5 linked regions of the Canis lupus familiaris genome follow. The protein of the gene in region 2 binds, or shares a complex with, the protein of the main gene of each other region. Links are inferred from orthologs where the notes say so. Each region holds a gene or a part of one and is shown on either strand. Other genes may lie near its edges.

Region 1 (4,187 bases), on a different chromosome or scaffold from region 2:
TTCATCAATGATAAATCTGCATCTCCTTATTCTACACCAAAAATCCTGGTTCACAAAGATGCTAGCATTAATCCTTGTTTGTTTATTTTACAATGGTAATTGCACAATAACACCCATGATAGTTGCACAATACCAATACCAATACTACCACCCACAATAGTTGCACAATAACAATACCAATACTACCACCAACAATATGACTACTTGAAAATATTTTTGCATTTCTTTTTGTCCCTAGAGTAAATCCCACTTGGGATGTCATAGTCAAATTACCGTGTTTTAAAGTCACTTGAATAGTTTGGTTGGCATTTCATATTTTTGCAATAAAATCCTTGTGCTATGGACTCATGTGGTTGAGAGAAATCTAAATTTTTCAGAAATATATGCATAATAAGAGTACTGTGCAGACTGCTAGATTCTGAATTAAATGCAAACCAATTAAGCAAATGCCTTAGTGACACTATTTGGAATCAGGCTTTGTGTTCACTTCACTTGGCAAATATAAGATGATGATCCCAGATGCCTATAACTGCAAAAATAAGATATGGCTAAATTCCTTGGTTGCAATATCTTAAAAGGTCACAAGATTATGTTATTCCACAAAAGTATCTTTCTGAATCTCTTCTTATCTCACTTTATCTTTCCAAGTCCCAATCCACCCCCCCAACGCTGTGGATTAATAACCTTCAAAAAACTCTATTCTTATTCCTTCTTCACCTTTTTGCCTCTGTTAGCCTCCTCCTCTAACAACTAGGGAGCTTATATTTTGTGTGTGAATTGGTTAAGAGGGAAGGAAGAGGAATTACTGTATAAACTAAGAGAATGAAATGGAGGAGACAGGGGGATAGACAGCTGCAAGGATCTGTTCTGGTAGACTGAAACAGACCTAGGCAACTCAGAGCTCGGATTTCTCCACTGGACAGCTGGCTTTTTTAGTCCTTCTGAAATACTCTGCAAAGATGGGGGAAGGGGTGTGAACTACCTCTGCTATGGACCCTATCTGAAGTCACCTACCTTCTAGATGTGACCAATAGAAACTAAATGCAATCTTCAATATAGCAGGGATGAAAGCGGTGAAAGAAAGAGTGTAATTTCCCACTCTACTTTTTAAAGGCTGGGAGCTCATTACTGAGAATGCTGGAGGGCTGCCTGGAGTAGGCAGTGACTAGAGTCACATAACCTGGAAGTGGATATCTGACTTGCCTATAATATTTCTGTCGCCCCTTCCCCACTTGGCACTCTATATTCCATATTCTTTCTAATCCTTCTACCCTCCCCATCCCCCCAACCCACACCCTACCGCCACTGACGTTCCTGGAATTTTGGACTTAGCTATTTTTAAAACAGTCAACTCAGTAGCCACCTCCCTCCCCCGCTCAGCTGTCCAGTACTCTGGCCAGCCATTTACTTCCCCTTCCCCCCACCCAAATCTTCTCTGGTTCCCTAACCTCAGTGAGATTGCAGCCAGTCTGGGGACCTGGGGGAGACATGGAGAAAGACGGGGGATCCCCTGGCTGGAGCTGACCGACAGAGTAGGCAGTCATGGCTGGAGAATTGGATATCAGAGTAATGTTTGTCCTCTGGAAACAGTAAGTCAAAATGAAATTGCAATTCCTTTAATACGCTTTTGGAATGAAGTTAGACTTTCAGAAAATTATGACACCTACTTGAATGTCTCTAGTCCAAAAGCTAGGATCTCTTTTCATACCAAGGTGCCCCATCTCCATTTCTCCTCCTGTCTTATTTCTTTCTGGCTGCTGGCCACTTGCCTCTTGAAGTTTCATCTTCTGTCTCTCCTCTGGCCGTTTTAGCTCTCTCCTTACTCTGTTGCCTCAGACTTCTGGTGAAGTTTTAGGAGTTTCCTATATGCCCTATTCTGTAGTTTTCTCACCATGGCCAGATTTAGCCTCAGATGATTAGTCACTGGTACCCTTCTACCTGCCCCTACTTGGCAGTGACCTTCACATTGGGCTTCCAAGGGTAGGGGCTATGTCTTGTTGTAAATTATTTATTTACACACTCCAGTCTTCCCACCCTATTCTCCCTCCTGCATGACTTTGACCCCAATCATACCCTTACGCCAAGAATGGGGAGTTTGGCAGGAGGGGTTTTGCAGGAGGAGTTTTGCAGAGGACAGGCCCCAAGGCCCCAAGGCCTGTCCTCTGCAAGACTGAGAACTTCTGAATTTGCAAAGGAAAGATGAAAAGAGTGATTCTTCAGTCAGATTTGGAAAAATAAAAAAAATGCAAGAACTGTGGACTCAACACACACAAGAATGGATTTGCATGCTTGGTTTGCATCCCGTTATTCTGTGAGAGAGAGGGATTATAATCTTAGCTGTCTCAGATGAAAGAGATTGGTCCCTTTTCATTTGAATACTGATGTTCTAAAGAGGGAATGGGTATTCCACCCTCACTCCTTCTTGCTAAAACATTCTGACACAAAGGAGGAAGAGAAATGAATGACCCCTGGAGAGTGTCCCCTCTGGATGGGGAGAAGCAAATAAGAGGTGTGTTTTTGAAATATTTTTAAATCCTAATTATATTGAGGAGCCCACTGGGATGACTGGGGTCTGATCCATCCCCACAATTCCTCCTTTTTTTTTTTTTTTTTTTTTTTTTTTGACATTCTGCTGTTTGGTAGCTCAGGATGGGGCAATACAGTGGACTCTGCCCGCGCCCCCCCCCCCCCCCCCCCCGCCAGTCTAGTCAACCTTCCTTCCACCCCCACCTCAGGGTGTTGCATAAGGGACCTGAAAGTGGCCACAAGAACAAGGCACAGAGGCTTAACAGCCACACTTACAGTTGGGAGAGCCCTATTCTCCCCAAACTCCCGACCGCTCATCCTTTTTCCTGATCTTCCCAGATTCTCTTCATATAATCCTGAATGATCTTCGACTCTTTTCTCTCCCCATGCCCAGCCAAGTTTCTTTTTTCAGTCCTTTACAGGAGGTCCGGTCAAAATTCACTAGGTAGGAGGGTCGTCAGCTGGAAAAAGCCGGAGCCTGGGGGGACCTGGCCGCATAGGTATGGGGGATCCAGGCTGGTCTCCCCATGGCAGCCCCCCAACTCTAAGCACTCTCACCCTCCTGCTCCTTCTCTGTGGACATGGTAAGGAAGGGCTAGGGAAGGGCTGGGGAACCTAGAGGGTCCTCTGCTGTGCAAGGGTGGGCAGGTGAGCATGTGTGTAGAGAAGGGACAGGTGCTGGAGAGTTCCAGTCACTCGCCTGGCTCTCAAATAGATATATATTTTATTTCCCATTCGCCTTGGGGAAGGACACTGGAAAAGCGCTTGATCCGTAGGGAGAAGAGACCTAGCGGGCTTACACATTTTTAGCAAGACGTAGTGAACACAGGAACTAGGGAGCTGGGGGCTGAGGACCAGGGACTGGACTGGAACTTGGGATCAGTTGGGTTTTAGGAGCAGCTGAAATTTCCTTCATCAGATTTGGGAGAATTAAGTGGGGATCCAAGAGCCATCTCACAATCCTCTCCCTTTGTCCTCAGCTCACTCTCAATGCAAGATCCTCCGCTGCAATGCTGAGTATGTATCATCCACCCTGAGCCTTAGAGGTGGGGGTTCACCGGGAGCGCTTCGAGGAGGAGGAGGAGGAGGAGGAGGAGGAGGAGGAGGAGGAAGGAGAGGGGGAGGGGGAGGAGGAGGAGGAGCTGGAGGAGCTGGAGGAGCTGGAGGAGCTGGAGGAGCAGGAGGAGGGGCAGAAGCTGGGGGCCGGGGTGGAGCCGTGGGCTCCGGCGGCCTGTGCCGAGCCCTCCGCTCCTACGCTCTCTGCACCCGGCGCACCGCCCGCACCTGCCGCGGAGACCTGGCCTTCCATTCGGCCGTGCACGGCATCGAAGACCTGATGATCCAGCACAACTGCTCCCGCCAGGGCCCCACGGCCCCTCCCCCGCCCCGCGGCCCAGCCCTTCCGGGCTCGGGCCCTGTCCGCTCCTCTGGCCCCCCAGCCCCGGACCCCTGTGACTACGAAGGCCAGTTTTCCCGGCTGCACGGTCGTCCCCCGGGCTTCCTGCATTGCGCCTCCTTCGGGGACCCCCACGTGCGCAGCTTCCACCACCACTTTCACACGTGCCGTGTCCAGGGAGCTTGGCCCCTGCTGGATAATGACTTCCTTTTTGTCCAGGCCACCAGCTCCCCCGTGGCATCGGGGGCCAACGCCACCGCCACGC
Region 2 (4,143 bases):
CCCCGCCCGGCCCCGAGACCGCCGCTGCGCCCTTCCCCGCACCCGGCGTCGCCCAGGATGGCCGCCCCGAGCCACGGGCCGCGGCGGCGCTAGCGCGGAGGGAGCGCCCGACCCTCGGCCCCCGCGCCGGGCCCCGCGTCCCGCGGGCGCCGGTGCCTGAGGACGACGACGCACCGGCTTCTGCCCTGTCCCTTCCCTCGCCTGCCCCGTCCTCCTCCCCCTGCTCGCTGTTGTTGTGTGTCAGCACTTGGCTGGAGACTTGTTGAACTTGCAGGGAGAATAGCTTGCGCTCCCGCTTCGCGCCGGTGCCTTGGCCCCTGCGGAGCCGGCCTCGCCGCCCGGACCCCGCGCCCGGACCCCGCGCCCGGACCCCGCGCCCGCGCCGCCCCACTGCTCCGCGGGGCCAGACCCGGGGCCGCGGTGCCCGGCGGCGGGAGGAGGCGGCGGCGGCGGCGGCGGCGGCGGCCCGAGGGAACCGGGTCCCTGCGCCAGGTCCTTGGACCAGAGCTTTTTCCATGTGGAGGCTCTTTCAATGGACGTGCCCCCGCGTGCTTCTTAGACGGTCGGCGGTCTCCTAAAGGTAGGGGACGAGGGCCCCGGGCTGGGGTGGGGGTACGGGGTAGGGGGTAGGGGCGGGGCGCGGGGCGCGGGCGGCCGCCGAGGGCGAGCGGCTCCTGGGGCCGGGCCGGGCCGGGCGGACGTAAACAGACCCCCTCCGGGTCCACGTGCTGCCGAGCCCCTGCGGCGATGCCCCCACCAGACCGCCCCGGCGAGCCTGGCCCTCCCGGCTCGCGCTCTTCCGCCCCTCCTCCCTTCTCTCTTCTCAGTATTTTATTAGGGCTGTTAACACTTAGATGATTAAAAAAAAAAAAAAAAAAAACCTCGAAGAAGCCCAATCTAGAGGGTGGCCTCTGGATTTCACCCGTTAGTCGCCAACCTTTGCGCCCTGCCATGGCCATCTTCTCTCCCTTCTTCAAGTTTCTCAGGGAGACCTGCTCTCTACTCAGAGCCAAGTCCCATTTAGGAAAATACTAGAAGTTGGGGTTCTCCCTGTTTGTTGCCAGGAATGCGAGGGGGGCAGTACTTAAATGCCACCTTCTGGTGACACGTGACCGAATAGGTATTATTTATGTAACTGGAGGAATATGTATGTGTGTCTGGACTGCATGGGGCGGGGGTTCGGGGCTGGGGTGGCCCTGTCCTGACACCTCTGAGGTTAAAGGCGTGGGCCACAAGTTGCAAGTGGCTTCGGAAGTTGTGGCCCTGAGTTTACTGGGTCTGGAAGTCAGAGGGAGGGCGGGAGGGCGGGAGCGAGAGAGAGTGTGAGTGTATGTGTGTATCAGGAAGTTCTATACGGTGCCTGTAAGGAAGTCACATGCACCATCCGTGCGTGTTTATATGCAAGCCAGCGCTGGGCAATGTGTTTGGGTTTGTTTAGCGATCCGGGAGGTGTCAGACCAAGCGGTGGTTTCCCCAGGTTCCCTGCACGGGCTGTCAGCGCGAGTGTCACAGAAGAAAGGTGACAGTCTTGACGCTGGTGGGGTGTGTGTGTGTGTGTGCGCGCGCGCGCGCAAATCGTGCCGGATGGATGAGAGTGAGTTGGAAGGGGGGGGAGCCTTCAGGCTCAGGAACTAGGGGCTTTCCATTCTCCCAAACGTTCGAGCTTAAGACCTTTGAAGTATCCCCGCGAGTATTGCACACCAGGTGGGCACCCTGGAGGGGGAGGCAGCGGCCGGAGCGGGAGCCCCGGGACGCGAGGGCGGGGAGAGGATTGGGCGGGGAACTCGGTGACTCACGTCGGCCCTGTCCGCAGGTCGACCATGGTGGCCGGGACCCGCTGTCTTCTAGCGTTGCTGCTTCCCCAGGTCCTCCTGGGCGGCGCGGCCGGTCTCATTACGGAGCTGGGCCGGAGGAAGTTCGCGGCATCTCCTGGCCGCTCCCCGTCCCAGCCCTCGGACGAAGTCCTGAGCGAGTTCGAGTTGCGGCTGCTCAGCATGTTCGGCCTGAAGCGGAGACCCACCCCCAGCAGGGACGCCGTGGTGCCCCCCTACATGCTGGACCTGTACCGCCGGCACTCGGGCCAGCCGGGCGCACCGGCCCCGGACCACCGGCTGGAGAGGGCAGCCAGCCTGGCCAACACCGTGCGCAGCTTCCACCACGAAGGTGAGGCGTGGAGCAGAGCGTGGGGGCCGAGATGCGCGCGGAGAGTCCCCTCCAGAAGCTCCCCACTGTGGGCCGACTGTTGGCATCCCTGGGAAGGCAGTTCTTGCCTTTGTAAGAACCTTTCCGAACCGAACCTGGCTTTACCGCGCTGCCTGTGTGGCGAGGGAGCCAGGGATTCCCCTTTGGTCAATCTGCACCCTTTTCCTGGCCTGCAGCCAGGAGAGCGACTCCTCCTCCAGGAACTGGAGAGAAATCAAGTGATGGGGAAGATGAGGGCAAAAGGCATGCCCCTAGTCAGCTAAATGTGCAAGAATTTCATAGGGGAAGAATGAAAAGGAGGGGGGCAGATTGGGATCTCTTTATGTCTGTTTGGAAGCCCTTTTGCCCTGTAAATCTGTTTCTCCTGCTTCAGCTGGGGTTTCAGGCTAGACACAGCCAAGGACAGACTTTTCAGAGATACTATTGAAGAATCAAAGCCAGGGGCCCCAAAGTCTTTCTAATTTACAGTTGATCTGGGCCTGGTTTGGAAGATTTCGAATCCCTATCTAATCCCCGTGAGAGATCAATCCCACAATCAATCTTATTGTTTCCACAATGACTTTCTTGTTTTGTGCTTAAATCTGAGATGAACTCCCTCTTAGAGACAAGGCAAGCCTTCAGATAAAAGCTTTTGCAGCAGCTGCCTGATGGTTCTTTTTTTTTTTTTCTCCATGTGCATTGAAATGTGGATTTTTTTTTTTTCTTTTATGATACTGGATGTGGTTTTCCTAAGGTACGCTATTTCTGCTTGTTTCATTAGAACAGCATTTAGTGGATTTGAAATGTCCAAGAGAAGCTATTGACATCTGTTGTACCCAAGTTCTTGGATCAATTAGTCAAAAATTTTATGTTCCACTTTAGTTCTTTTTCTACACTTTTAAATACCCTTTTGGCTTAATGCATTCCAAATAGAGCACGGGTTTCATCAAGTTCTAGAGAAATCTCCAAAGCTGTGTATCACAGAGCAGTCACTTGTAGATTATTGGGGAATCGGGAGTGAAGTTCCCATTTTCTTGCCTTGCTTCGAGGTGGTAAATTTCAGGCAGAAATCTATTCTCTAACATAAACAAATAAGAACTGTTACAGCTACCTATTTTCTCTCAGTGTGAAGGGTGACTACACTTGTGAGAACAGCACTTAGTGTTGGGAAGAAGTCCTAAAGGCAGGTGGCGTAACCAAAGGTACTTCTTCATCAAAGCAGTTGTACACTGTGAAGGGACACGGGATTGATAACCCATTGATCGTAATCCATCATTTTCCAGCACATTTCCAAGTGAGGTGCTTTTTTGCAGTAGAGCTCCCATGAGAAAGCACAGAAGGCATCCTTCTACTCCTTCAGGATTCGTTCGCTGAGAAGCAGAAGTTGTCTGTTGTCATATGTAGAAATGTTTTCACTCCTATATGCTCTGTCAACATAATCTTGGAATGATTGTAGTAGATGCAGCTCATCATTCCCAGCTGATGCTGATAAGAATTATTTTTCTGGATAGAAAAGTAGCAAGAGCAGCTATTTCAGCCACCTCTCCTGGAAATTTAGCCTGGAACCACTCTTAATTATTTTAAAGGCTAGGAAGGTACTGTGTGTCTCTCATAACTTAAAGGAGGAACACTTAAGTCGTCTGACACCTAAAACATTCAGCTGCATGAGGATCCCGTCAGTGGAGTCTGTGTATTTCTCTTTCCTCTAGGAGTGGCTTGATCAAAACTAAACAGGCTACAAATTATTTGAGTGTGTTATTTTAACCTAAATAGCGTGCTTGAGTTTATAAGTCAGAATTTATAACTTTAAAAGTATGAAAGTTATGTGCAGAGCAGTAGAGAAATTATCAACCTGCTTAAAGTCAACTTACAGTAACGTCAGATCTCAGTGCAGTTAGATGATAGAAAAAGCCATGTAATTTTTGCCTCAAATTTCATCACATCCATTTCTGTTCTTGTTAT
Region 3 (4,306 bases), on a different chromosome or scaffold from region 2:
TTGGAAATATCTGGTAGAATTAGAATCAGGCCATATATTTTTAAACATAGTCATTTTGATGGATTGTTATAACCCTTATGAGAATGGGTTAATCTCTAGCTTTGTGAAATACAGTGATTGCCTTCCCTCTTTTCTTCCACCTACGCCATTAGGGAAGAATGGAGTTGTTGGCAAAGAGTGGCTTTGGAGGTAGATATTTGTCATTTCTAAAATGAAAACATAATGCATTTATTTTTTGATTATGTAAGGGAAATTTTTTAAGACTGTGAACCTCTCAGGAAAAAAAAAAATCCCTAAACACTGTATCTCTTCCATTCCTGCCCTCGTTTCTCTGAGTGATGGTCTAAGAGTTTTATTGTCCTGTGAATACCCTGAAAAATATTAGAGACCAGTTAAGTTGTGGGTAACCGGTGCATTGAGAAGACTGTTTAAGGCTCCTAAATGCAGACAAAGCATTACTAATTGCTTTCAGGGTCAGTCTGTCTTTAGTTGGACCATGAAAGATTTAGCATGGTCCTATGGCAGCCCGTCTGCTGAGTGGAGACTCTTGTCTTTAAGAAAGGCTGCTATCTGATATGCTAGACCGTTTCAGGTTGCCCCAGTTTACATGAATTCAGTCATTATTGCCAAGACTACTAAACCTCAGTGTGACACAAACGATACCTCTAAATGGACTTGAAGACAAAGGCATTTTGACCTTGCCGTGGGACATAGGTAGTGTTCATACAGCTTAAAATTTTTCCTTTTAAAATATGAAACAATACTTTGCTATTTGAAGTTTCATTTAAAAGATATGTTCATAGAAATTATTTTTAAGATCTCTAAGTAAGCAACATGCCTTTTTAAATAAATCAGAATTTTTCATTGTTTCCCGCTTTTAGATTTATCAACTTTGTGTCTTAATGCAGCAGGGAACTAAATGTCAGTGGAAACATAGTTGTAACCTATCCCCTGGGCTTAGACCAAGCAGTGCCATTGATTCCTGACCCCTCCAGTTCTTTAATATTCTAGGTAGAAGATTGACTGAAATTAGAACTACCTACTGAGATTTTGTGATAGAAAGTGAAAAATAGGGGTATTAGCTGGGTGGCCAAATATATTTTTGCCTAAGTAGAAATTTCAATACTGTAGAATTGTGGATTTTAGTGCTGCTTCTAACTGTTCCTGTTTTTTCGTTTTAAGATGTGATTTTTTTTTTCCTTCAGAAATCTAAGCTAATACAGAAATTTTGCATGCAAGAAGTTTCTTCCACAGAACTATTGTTACCTTTGTGAAGTTGAAAATATACAAAATAGGAAACATCTTTGGGCAGAGGTTGGGAAAATGATAAAGTGATAGGTTAAAATACTTTAGAATTTCATTGACTTTATGTTGAAAATATATAATTTTACACATGACGAATTTTTAGTATTGCTTTTGTGTGTTTCTTTTGGTCTAAGTAAGCTCTCTCTCTTTTTTTTAACAGATTTATGAAAATATGCATCAGTTTAATACTGTCTTGGAATTCATGAGATGGAAGCATAGGTCAAAGCTGTTTGGAGAAAATTGGAAGTACAGTTTTATCTAGCCACATCTCTGAGGTAAGGAAAAGACTTTTAAGAAAATAATTAGAATAATATGAACATTTTCATATCAACTATTTGAAAATAGTCGTGGAAGGTGGGTGGGGGAATGAGCTAAATTGAATTGGGTGATGGGCATTAAGGAGAGTGCATGTTGGGATGAGCACGCGGTGTTGTGTGTAGTGATGAATCACTAAATTCTCCTGAAACCAATACTATACTATATATTAACTAACTTGGAAGGAAAGAAGGAAGGAATTGAAAATAGTCCATGTGTATGTATTACTGCTGCAACTTTATTTTAGTCTTTTTAGTTTCTTTAAACACCTCTTTATGAGTTCATAAGTAGTTCTAATACATTTTCCCCTTCTTATTCATGTTTAAAGTCTTCAAAAATAAAAGGTACTCATTTATTACTGATATCACTTTCTTCACTCTAATTATAGAAAATAAGCATTAGATGATATATAAGGATGTATTTATCCCCCCTAAAGACAACCAGAGTTCAGAATGGAAGATTATGGATGTTTATATTATTTTGAATCTTTCACACATTATAGAATTCAGAATAAAAATGTTGTCTTAAAATAATAGGTTTTTGGAGATAGAATTTGTTTTAAAAGTAGGAACTGTCGTAACACCAAGGGTAGGAGAAAAGAAGCCGTTCTAAGAAAGGGGATGTCAAGTGCATTAATTTTGATCCATTTACAGACTCAGATTATCAGGTAAAAGGTTTGAATTCTTTAGGATCTATATTTTAGAAAAATAAATAGGACATATACTATGAAGTAGTCTGTACTCTTTCCTCGTAGGGTAGTTGGCTTTGCAGCAGTTGGCTGCTGCTTCTGTAGCGTGCTCATTCTTTTTTCTCACTCTGCCTTTGCTCTTTGTGTCTTTGCTCTTTTGAAAAACACTTACAACTTTTTAATTGCCTTTTATTAGGTTTCATACTCTTTGATCACTGTAGTAGTTGCTATTTTCCCTTTTTTGCAGTTCTCTTGGTTTCTATGACCCTGTGTTCTTCTCCTTCTTTTTTTTTTTTTTTTTTTAAGATTTATTTATTTATTCAGTCAGAGCGAGAGAGAGGCAGAGACACAGGCAGAGGGAGAAGCAGGCTCCATGCAGGAAGCCCGATGTGGGACTCGATCCCGGGTCTCCAGGATCACACCCTGGGCTGCAGGCGGCGCTAAACCGCTGCGCCACCAGGGCTGCCCGGCCCTGTGTTCTTCTAGCTCTACTTCTTTAATCACTCCTTCATAATTTTTCTTCTCCTCCTACTCTTAAGTAATGACCTCCACGAGGTTTTATCTTTGAAATTTTTCTGTTTCTTCTTTATGTTTTTCCTGATCTCATTTCAACAGTTACCTCTATAGTGATCTCTCAACCTTACATTTCACTTGTGTCCCTCTCTCTAAGCTTTCGGCCTGTATGGCCAACCGCTCGCGTCGCACCGGGGTTCCCATGTCTGTTAGCGGACATCTCTGTTACCCACACGCAAAGTCTCGGTGCCGGATGTGGTTCCTCACCTTTTCCTTCCCGCTCTAGTCAGAGATGCAGTCCCACCCGGTGGCCTCTGAATGTGCCGTGAATGTTTCCGTCCTTTCTCTTCCAGTCCCCCCATCCCCATCCAATGCTAGGCCCTTCCATTACATTTCACCTGAAATATCGCAGGGCCCTCGCGGTTGGGCGCTTCACTGCTGTGAGAGGAGGGAACAGTCCGGGAGGCTGCACATAGGACGTGATAGTTGAGTAGAGTCTCGAAAGATGAGAAAGATTGCCCAGTGGAATTTGGGAGGCGAGAGAATTTCACGCGCAGAGCTCAGCGTAAGCAAGGGAAGCCTGAGGTATATCGATTGTACAACAGACAGAAGAAATCATTTTGTGTGGTTTGAATTCAGGATATGAGAGCGGCTTTGAGGGACAAGGCGAGGAGAGACCTTGATGGTGAAGGACTCAGTGCTGTGGTCGGGAGTTTAGGCTTTATTTTGTGAATAGTTGGCAGCCACCGAAAAATTTTAACAGAGGCATTTTAGAATCATAATTTGTTTTGCTAAAATTAATCCTGCAGGGATATGGATGATAGTTTGGAAGGAGGAGGGGGACACCAAAAGCAGGCGACAATTCGGATGCTCTTAATTGTTAATTGTTTCAAGCAAGAAATGATGAGGCTCTTGATTTAGGTAGGGATCAACTTACCTGAAATTATGAAAACCTGTAAGCATTGGTTGTTAGCAAACATTCAGTTTTCTTCCTCTGTACCCCTCCGTGTATGTGTGGTACTCTTCAGCCAGTGATTTGAAGCTGCCTGTATTTCTTTGCTCTCTGCTCCTATTATTCTTTTCTCCTGACATGCTTTTTCCACTTTTTCTTGTGGTAGCCCTGTCAACTTTTAAGAACTCCTCTCGGGCAGCCTGGGTGGCTCAGCAGTTTAGTGTCTGCCTTCGGCCCAGAGCGTGATCCTGGAGACCCGGGATCGAGTCCCACGTCGGGCTCCCTGCCTGGAGCCTGCTTCTACCTTTGCCTGTGTCTCTGCCTCTCTCTGTGTCTCTCACAAATAAATAAATAAAATCTTAAAAAAAAAAAATCTCAAGTGCCAATTCACCCCTGAGGTCCTTTGTGATCTATATTTCTTTTTTTGGATGTGTGTGTGCGCGTGCACATGCACAACTGCTGGCAGTGGAGGGAATGTGTAAGGACAGAGAGAGAGGGAGAGAAAATCTCCAGCATGCTCCCTGCCCTGTGCA
Region 4 (2,730 bases), on a different chromosome or scaffold from region 2:
CTCTGTGTGTGACTATCATAAATAAATAAAATTAAAAAAAAAAAAAAAAAAGATGGCTGTGGACCGTATTAGTTTCCTGTTGCTCCTGTAACAAATACCACGAAGTCAGTGTTTCAAACAAGCAGAAATGTCTTCTCTTGTAGCTCTGGAGGTGAGAAATCTAAACTGTGTCTTTCAGGGCTAACATGAAGGTGTTAACAGGGTCAGTGCTTTTGGCTTCCAGGAGAGTATGTTCAGGGCTCTTCCAGCCTCTGGTGGTTGCCAGCATCCCTGGGCTATGGTCATACCCCTCCAGGCTCTGCCTCCATGGAAAGAGCCTTCCGTCTTTGATGGTCCAACCTCTCTCTGGCTCCATCTTAGGAGGACATGTGTGCTTGTATGCAGGGCCCACCCAAATAATCCAGGATAACTTCTCCATCTCAGTATCCTGAACCTAAACACATCTGCAGAGTCTCTTTTGCTTATAAGGTAACCTTCACAGGTTCCTGGCATTAGGGCCTGATATCTTGAAGGCCATTACTCAGCCTACTACAATAGATAATGAAGTTTTATTTTTAATTAGCTGTGCTTTTCTTTTTATGGTTCACCTCTATATATAGTAAATGAGCTGGTTTTCTATTTAGGGTAGTGATCTAAAGTTCCCCTCCTAAGTCAGTTTTCTCTTTTTTTTAAAAACAAGTTGGTTTTGTTTTAACTAAGTTTTTTAATTCCAGTATCGTTCCAACACGGTGTAATTTTTTTTAAACGATTTATTTATTTATTTATTTATTTATTTATTTATTTATTTATTTATTTATTCATTCATGAGAGACCCAGAGAGAGGGTCAGAGACATAGGCAGAGCGAGAAGCAGGCTCCCCACGGAGAGAAGGATGTGGGACTTGATCTTGGGATGCAGGATCACACCTGGAGCCAAAGGCAGATGCTCAACCCACTGAGCCACCCAGGCGCCCCCAACACGGTGTAATTTTAATCTCAGACGTGCAATACAGTGATTCGACAACTTTATACCACACTCGGTGCCCATCACAAGTATGATCTTCATCCCCTCCCCGTGTCCCCCCCATTCCCGCACCCCACTCCCGTCTGGTCGTCGTCAGTCTGCTCTCCGTAGTTCAGAGTCTGTTTTGTTTCTTGGTCTGTTCTTCTCTCCTTTAACCCCCTTTGTCCTCTAGTAAAACACGTTGCTTTATTTATTTATTTATTTTTTATGATAGTCACAGAGAGAGAGAGAGAGAGAGAGAGGCAGAGGGAGAAGCAGGCTCCATGCACCGGGAGCCCGATGTGGGATTCGATCCCGGGTCTCCAGGATCGCGCCCTGGGCCAAAGGCAGGCGCCAAACCGCTGCGCCACCCAGGGATCCCAACACGTTGCTTTAAAGAAGGATGTTAAGTGCTTCATAATGCCGGTGGCACCAAAAGGTGACCGGGTCGGGCCGGCGGCTTGGGCTTGGGGCACGGCGGGGGCTCCTCGGTCCGGCGCCCCCGCACGCGCCCTGCGGCACCACTAACCCCGTCTCCGTCCCCCCCCCCCCCCCCCCCCAGCTCACCATCATCTTCAAGAACTTCCAGGAGTGTGTGGACCAGAAGGTGTACCAGGCCGAGATGGACGAGCTCCCGGCCGCCTTCGCCGACGGCTCCAAGAACGGCGGGGACAAGCACGGGGCCAACAGTCTGAAGATCACCGAGAAGGTGTCGGGCCAGCACGTGGAGATCCAGGCCAAGTACATCGGCACCACCATCGTGGTGCGCCAGGTGGGCCGCTACCTGACGTTCGCGGTGCGCATGCCCGAGGAGGTGGTGCACGCCGTGGAGGACCGCGACGGCCAGGGCCTCTACCTCTGCCTGCGGGGCTGCCCCCTCAACCAGCAGATCGACTTCCCGGGCCCCGGCGCCCGCAGCCCCGCGCCGGCCGCCGCGGACACCTTCCCCTACGAGGCGGCGGCGGCCAAGTGCAAGGAGAAGCTGCCGGTGGAGGACCTCTACTACCAGGCCTGCGTCTTCGACCTGCTCACCACCGGCGACGTCAACTTCACGCTGGCCGCCTACTACGCGCTGGAGGACGTCAAGATGCTGCACTCCGACAAGGACAGGCTGCACCTGTACGAGAGGACGCGGGAGCCGCCGGGCCGGGCCGCCGCGCCCCGGCCGCGCCTGGGCAGCCTCGCGCTCCTAGCCCTGCTCCCCGCCTTGCTGCGGGCCGTGGCCTCCGCCTAGGCCCGAGGGCGCGCTCCTGGCCCCAGCCCGGGGCGGCTGCGGGGGGCGGGGGGGGGGGCGGCCGCAGGGGGCGGGGGCCGGGGGCGCCCTGCACGTCTGCGGAGCTCAGAGGCCGAGGGAGCCGCCGGCCGGCGGGCCGTGGAGCTGGGAGCTGGGAGCTGTGGACGGGGTGACCTCCCCAGCCCCCGCTCCCACCCCCTGCCTGGTGGGGGCCCCGGTGCGGTGCCGTCCGTGACAGTTGAGCTGTGCGAGGGGGGAGCCGCTCCCCTCCACCCGCCCCCAGTGTGAATGTGCAAAACAGCCCCTCAGGCCCGAGCCCCCCACGCCCGCCCCACCCCCGGAGACACTGGGAGACCCTGGGACCGATCAGAGTCGAGCTCCCCCCCACCCCAGCGATGCACTGAATCAGGCCCAGCTGACTGCTGCCCGCGCCCGCCACACGCACACACACACTCACACGAGCACACTCGCACACACTAGGCCGAGGTGCCCAGGCCTCCGCGAGGCTGGACCCC
Region 5 (3,512 bases), on a different chromosome or scaffold from region 2:
CCCATCCCCTGCCTCGAGGGGAGGTCCCCTGGGCCCTGCAGGGCTGCTCACCTGGACCCCGCAAGGCTGCGTCCACCGACCCGAGAAGCTCGCCTGGACCCCGCAGGGCTGGGCCCCCCCTTCCCCCCCCTCCCCCACCGCCCCAGGGGAAGCTCGCCTGGATCCCCCAGCGCTGCGCCCCCCTTCCCCACCCCCGGCCCCGAGCGGAGGTCCCCTGGGCCCCGCGGCTGACGGCGCTGTGCTCCCCCGCAGGTGACCGTCATCTTCAAGGCCCACGGCGCGTGCACGGAGCAGAAGGTGTACCAGGCGGTGAGCGACGACCTGCCGGCGGCCTTCGTGGACGGCAGCACGAGCGGCGGCGACGGCGACGCCAAGAGCCTGGTGGTGCGGGAGCGCGAGAGCGGCCGCGCCGTGGAGATGCACGCGCGCTACATCGGCACCACCGTGTTCGTGCGCCAGCTGGGCCGCTACCTGACGCTGGCGCTGCGCATGCCCGAGGCGCTGGCCATGGCCTACGAGGAGAGCCAGGACCTGCAGCTGTGCGTGCACGGCTGCCCGCTGGCCGAGCGCATCGACGACGGCCGCGGCCGGGTGTCCGCCATCCTGGGCCGCCCCGCGCCGCCGCCCGGGCCCGGCTTCTCGCTGGAGGCGGCGCACGCGCGCTGCCGGGAGCGGGTGCCGCTGCAGGACCTCTACTTCCAGTCGTGCGTCTTCGACCTGCTCACCACGGGCGACGCCAACTTCTCGGCGGCCGCGCGCAGCGCCCTGGAGGACGTGGCGGCGCTGCACCCGCGGCGGGAGCGCTGGCACCTGTTCCCGGGCGGCGGCGGCCCCGCGGGCGCGGGCGCGGGCGCGGGCGCGGGCGGGGGCGGGGCGCGGGCCCTGGGCGCCGGGCTGGCGGGGCTGCTGCTGCTGCGGCTGCTCTAGGCCTCTAGGCGGCGCGGCGCGGGGCTGGGCTTTTTTTTTTTTTTTTTTTTTTTGGTCTATAACAGAATTTTAAAATATATATTGTCATAATATATTGAGTAAAAGAGTATATATGTATATAGCGTGCAGCCGCCGGCGCGGGGGCGTGCGGAGGGGCCGGCGGCGGGGACGGGGGAGGCAGCGGGCCTCGATTGTACTGATTTTTGTTTTGCAGTTTTGTGAAATATTTTATAATGTCCCTCCCTGGGGACCTGTTAGAAAGCACTTTATTTTTTATATATTAAATATTTATGTGTGTACCTGGTTAGTACGTACAGTACCTATACGCAGACCCCCCCCCCCACGTGCCCCTGGAGAGGACCGGGGGCGGGCGCTGTCCCATCCCCCCCTGGCCCCCCTCCTCCCCACCCCATTCCGCGACAGGTGGCCTCACCCCGGCCTGCCCCCCCCCCCGCCCCCCTGGAGGCCGTCACCCTGCGAGGGGCAGGGAGAAGCCGCCTGCGGGCCCTACGGATCGTTCCACTGAGCACGTCCCGCACGGGAGGTTGAGCCACACAAAACTGCTGTTTCCATAGGCCCGAAGGGGCAAGAGGTGACAAGGTCATGGAGAGGTACCAGGCGCTGTGCTAGACTCCCCCGCCCCCGCCCCGAGCGCTCAGACTTTTGCTCATCCAGGTCCCCGGTCCCACTGTCCCCCCTTTGCCCGCGCCTGGGTGCAAGCCGGGGCCTCGAGCCGGAGCTGGGTGCCCTGGGAACCGCGCTGCGCCCGGCTCCACCCCTGGAGGGCCCTCCTCGCCCCCCCGCCCCCCCCCCAAGCCCGGAGCCAGGCTGTGTTGGACGCTTGCCTCCTGGCAAGGCCCGGGCCGCCCGAGAGCAGGGCCTCCCTGATGCGACTGACAGGGGGGCTGGCTAATCCAGGCCTGGTGGCGCCCCAGGCCGCGTGTCTGTCTCTGTCATCCCCTCCTCGGGCTGCTAAGAGAGGCTCCTTAGGCACCTGCTCGTGGAACCTGGTTAAACTCCCATCAGGTACCTCCTTGCCGCCTCCCTTTCCCCGTTGGCGGCCCCGGTGCTAAAGGAAAGCCCCACGCCCCAAGTGCAAGAGCGCGAGGAAGGGAGTGCTAGGGGAGGGAAATTTCTCGTTTGTCTATGTAAGTGTTTGGTCCCAAGGAGCAAGGACACAATTTTTACCTTAGCTCAGTGCAAAAAAAAAATGAACTTGAGCGACCACAGCAGTGTGCATCCAGAGCGTGCTGAGCTGTAGCGGGCCAGGCCTGGCATCCCTGCCTTTCGCCACGTCCCGTTGGTGAGGGGCACTGCCAGAGGCCCCGACTGGCAGGAAAAGAGGATTTCGCTTTGCGGAAAATTCTATTTCGTCATGAACTGATCGGTCATCCAATCGCAGGATGGAGCTGTGGGTTCATCTAGAGGTGGCGACCGTCCTCTCTTTCTGTGATCTAGGACAGAGTCGCCTTGGCGAGTCTGGGAAAACCACAAAGGCATCCGGCTTCTGACGTGATAGAGATGCACCACCAGAGAATTGAAACCTAAACCAGTTAACCTTTTATAAAAACTGGACTGGGGGCGTACCTGCCATCAGCTCTGAACTGGGGCTGTGTTTGTTCACCTGGGGAACCATGGGCCAGTTCAGAAGCTAGAGTTAGCTAGTAACTTTGTTATGTAACAGAGTAGAACAAAGGAGGGAAAATAGAGTACTTATAACCACTATTCTTGTGCAAACAGTATAATGAAAGTGAAGTAAAAGCGGTAGAAACTCCTACAGTATCTGGCCTTAGGGCGTAGATGAACGATGTAACCTTTGTCCTTTTCAGGGAAAGCAAAACCACCACCTCTACTAACAGTTGGGGAAGGACAGACCCTTAACTCAGGCCACGTTGCCCTATCGGAGAGCTGGCGAGGCCCCTGCCAGGCATTCTGTGTCACTCGCATTCTTACCAGTGTATTTGGCTCTTGTGCCTTTACAATCCGAGTCCCTGTACGACCTTTCCCATCCCCACAGGTAACTGAGACATACAGATGCTTCTCTAGTGGAAGACCAAGTTATTCTTGTTTTTGTCCTAGCACTTCTAGAGAAAATACTACTTGTGCATTTGGGTTCTTGAAATTCTCCTTAGCCCAAAGTTTCAGGTTCTACCAACATCTGGATAGGCTGTAGCTATTCAGAGGTCTCCTGGGGGAGCTTAAGACTGGGGGGGGAAACACTGGTTTTCACAGATGCGCCACATGGCTGTCTTTTAAAAGACTCAAAGCCTATTTTTTTTGTCCTTTCCTTCTCTTTGTTATGCTTGGAAATTCCCAGTGTGTCGAGTCTTTGCAAAGAAACCTTTAGATGTGGTTCATAGGTATATGAATAAGTATCTGTGTAAAACAGTGAGTGTGCAGTGTGTAAATACTTTAAATTATTATGCTAGAAAAATAAAGTTACATACCATGCTGTGGAATGTTTGTTCTGTGATTATAGTGACACCTGCTGGAGGAGCTGCAAAACACAGGAGCTGAGAAAAGGGAGCCAGAGGGGCTTTGTGCAAAGTCCTTCCTTGGTGATTACTGACAACACGTTGTGCAAC

The links.
Region 1: the proteins of BMP2 (region 2) and HJV are in contact, whole or in part, in a crystal structure (PDB 4UI1), measured with the Homo sapiens proteins. The link is inferred for Canis lupus familiaris from reciprocal best matches to the Homo sapiens genes BMP2 and HJV. Residues at the interface, in NP_001191.1 of Homo sapiens: Phe331, Pro332, Ala334, Asp335, Leu337, Asn341, Ile344, Val345, Leu348, Ser351, Val352; in NP_001366281.1 of Homo sapiens: Leu40, Asn43, Tyr46, Val47, Tyr86, Leu101, Ala102, Ser105, Ala106, His108, Gly109, Ile110, Asp112, Leu113.
Region 3: the proteins of BMP2 (region 2) and BMPR1A are in contact, whole or in part, in a crystal structure (PDB 2QJ9), measured with the Homo sapiens proteins. The link is inferred for Canis lupus familiaris from reciprocal best matches to the Homo sapiens genes BMP2 and BMPR1A. Residues at the interface, in NP_001191.1 of Homo sapiens: Lys297, Pro330, Phe331, Pro332, Leu333, Ala334, Asp335, His336, Ser339, Asn341, Ile344, Val345, Leu348, Asn350, Ser351, Val352, Asn353, Ser354; in NP_001393490.1 of Homo sapiens: His66, Cys67, Pro68, Asp69, Ile77, Thr78, Asn79, Phe83, Ile85, Cys100, Met101, Lys102, Glu104, Gly105, Phe108, Gln109, Asp112, Arg120, Ile122.
Region 4: the proteins of BMP2 (region 2) and RGMA are in contact, whole or in part, in a crystal structure (PDB 4UHY), measured with the Homo sapiens proteins. The link is inferred for Canis lupus familiaris from reciprocal best matches to the Homo sapiens genes BMP2 and RGMA. Residues at the interface, in NP_001191.1 of Homo sapiens: Val308, Gly309, Trp310, Asp312, Trp313, Met371, Tyr373, Leu374, Asp375, Glu376, Lys383, Tyr385, Met388; in NP_064596.2 of Homo sapiens: Arg91, Arg94, Gly95, Leu97, His100, Ser101, His104.
Region 5: the proteins of BMP2 (region 2) and RGMB are in contact, whole or in part, in a crystal structure (PDB 4UI2), measured with the Homo sapiens proteins. The link is inferred for Canis lupus familiaris from reciprocal best matches to the Homo sapiens genes BMP2 and RGMB. Residues at the interface, in NP_001191.1 of Homo sapiens: Val308, Gly309, Trp310, Trp313, Met371, Tyr373, Leu374, Asp375, Glu376, Tyr385, Met388; in NP_001353437.1 of Homo sapiens: Lys97, Arg100, Gly101, Leu103, His106, Ser107, Leu110.

Annotation. Positions count from the first base shown.
Region 1 is NC_049238.1:59,452,099-59,456,285, reverse strand, and holds the start of HJV (hemojuvelin), read left to right. Parts: upstream 1-1,378; 5' UTR 1,379-1,589; intron 1,590-2,938; 5' UTR 2,939-3,028; coding exon 3,029-3,110; intron 3,111-3,506; coding exon 3,507-3,609; intron 3,610-3,723; coding exon 3,724-4,187. UniProt on the Homo sapiens protein: Acts as a bone morphogenetic protein (BMP) coreceptor. Through enhancement of BMP signaling regulates hepcidin (HAMP) expression and regulates iron homeostasis.
Region 2 is NC_049245.1:15,658,351-15,662,493, reverse strand, and holds the start of BMP2 (bone morphogenetic protein 2), read left to right. Parts: upstream 1-1,343; 5' UTR 1,344-1,418; coding exon 1,419-1,519; intron 1,520-1,813; coding exon 1,814-2,163; intron 2,164-4,143. UniProt on the Homo sapiens protein: Growth factor of the TGF-beta superfamily that plays essential roles in many developmental processes, including cardiogenesis, neurogenesis, and osteogenesis. Induces cartilage and bone formation.
Region 3 is NC_049225.1:35,396,322-35,400,627, forward strand, and holds the start of BMPR1A (bone morphogenetic protein receptor type-1A), read left to right. Parts: upstream 1-1,506; 5' UTR 1,507-1,580; intron 1,581-4,306. UniProt on the Homo sapiens protein: On ligand binding, forms a receptor complex consisting of two type II and two type I transmembrane serine/threonine kinases.
Region 4 is NC_049224.1:47,576,105-47,578,834, forward strand, and holds the end of RGMA (repulsive guidance molecule A), read left to right. Parts: intron 1-1,543; coding exon 1,544-2,215; 3' UTR 2,216-2,230; downstream 2,231-2,730.
Region 5 is NC_049224.1:11,451,340-11,454,851, reverse strand, and holds part of RGMB (RGM domain family member B), read left to right. Parts: intron 1-252; coding exon 253-838; intron 839-2,756; coding exon 2,757-2,944; intron 2,945-3,512. UniProt on the Homo sapiens protein: Member of the repulsive guidance molecule (RGM) family that contributes to the patterning of the developing nervous system. Acts as a bone morphogenetic protein (BMP) coreceptor that potentiates BMP signaling. Promotes neuronal adhesion.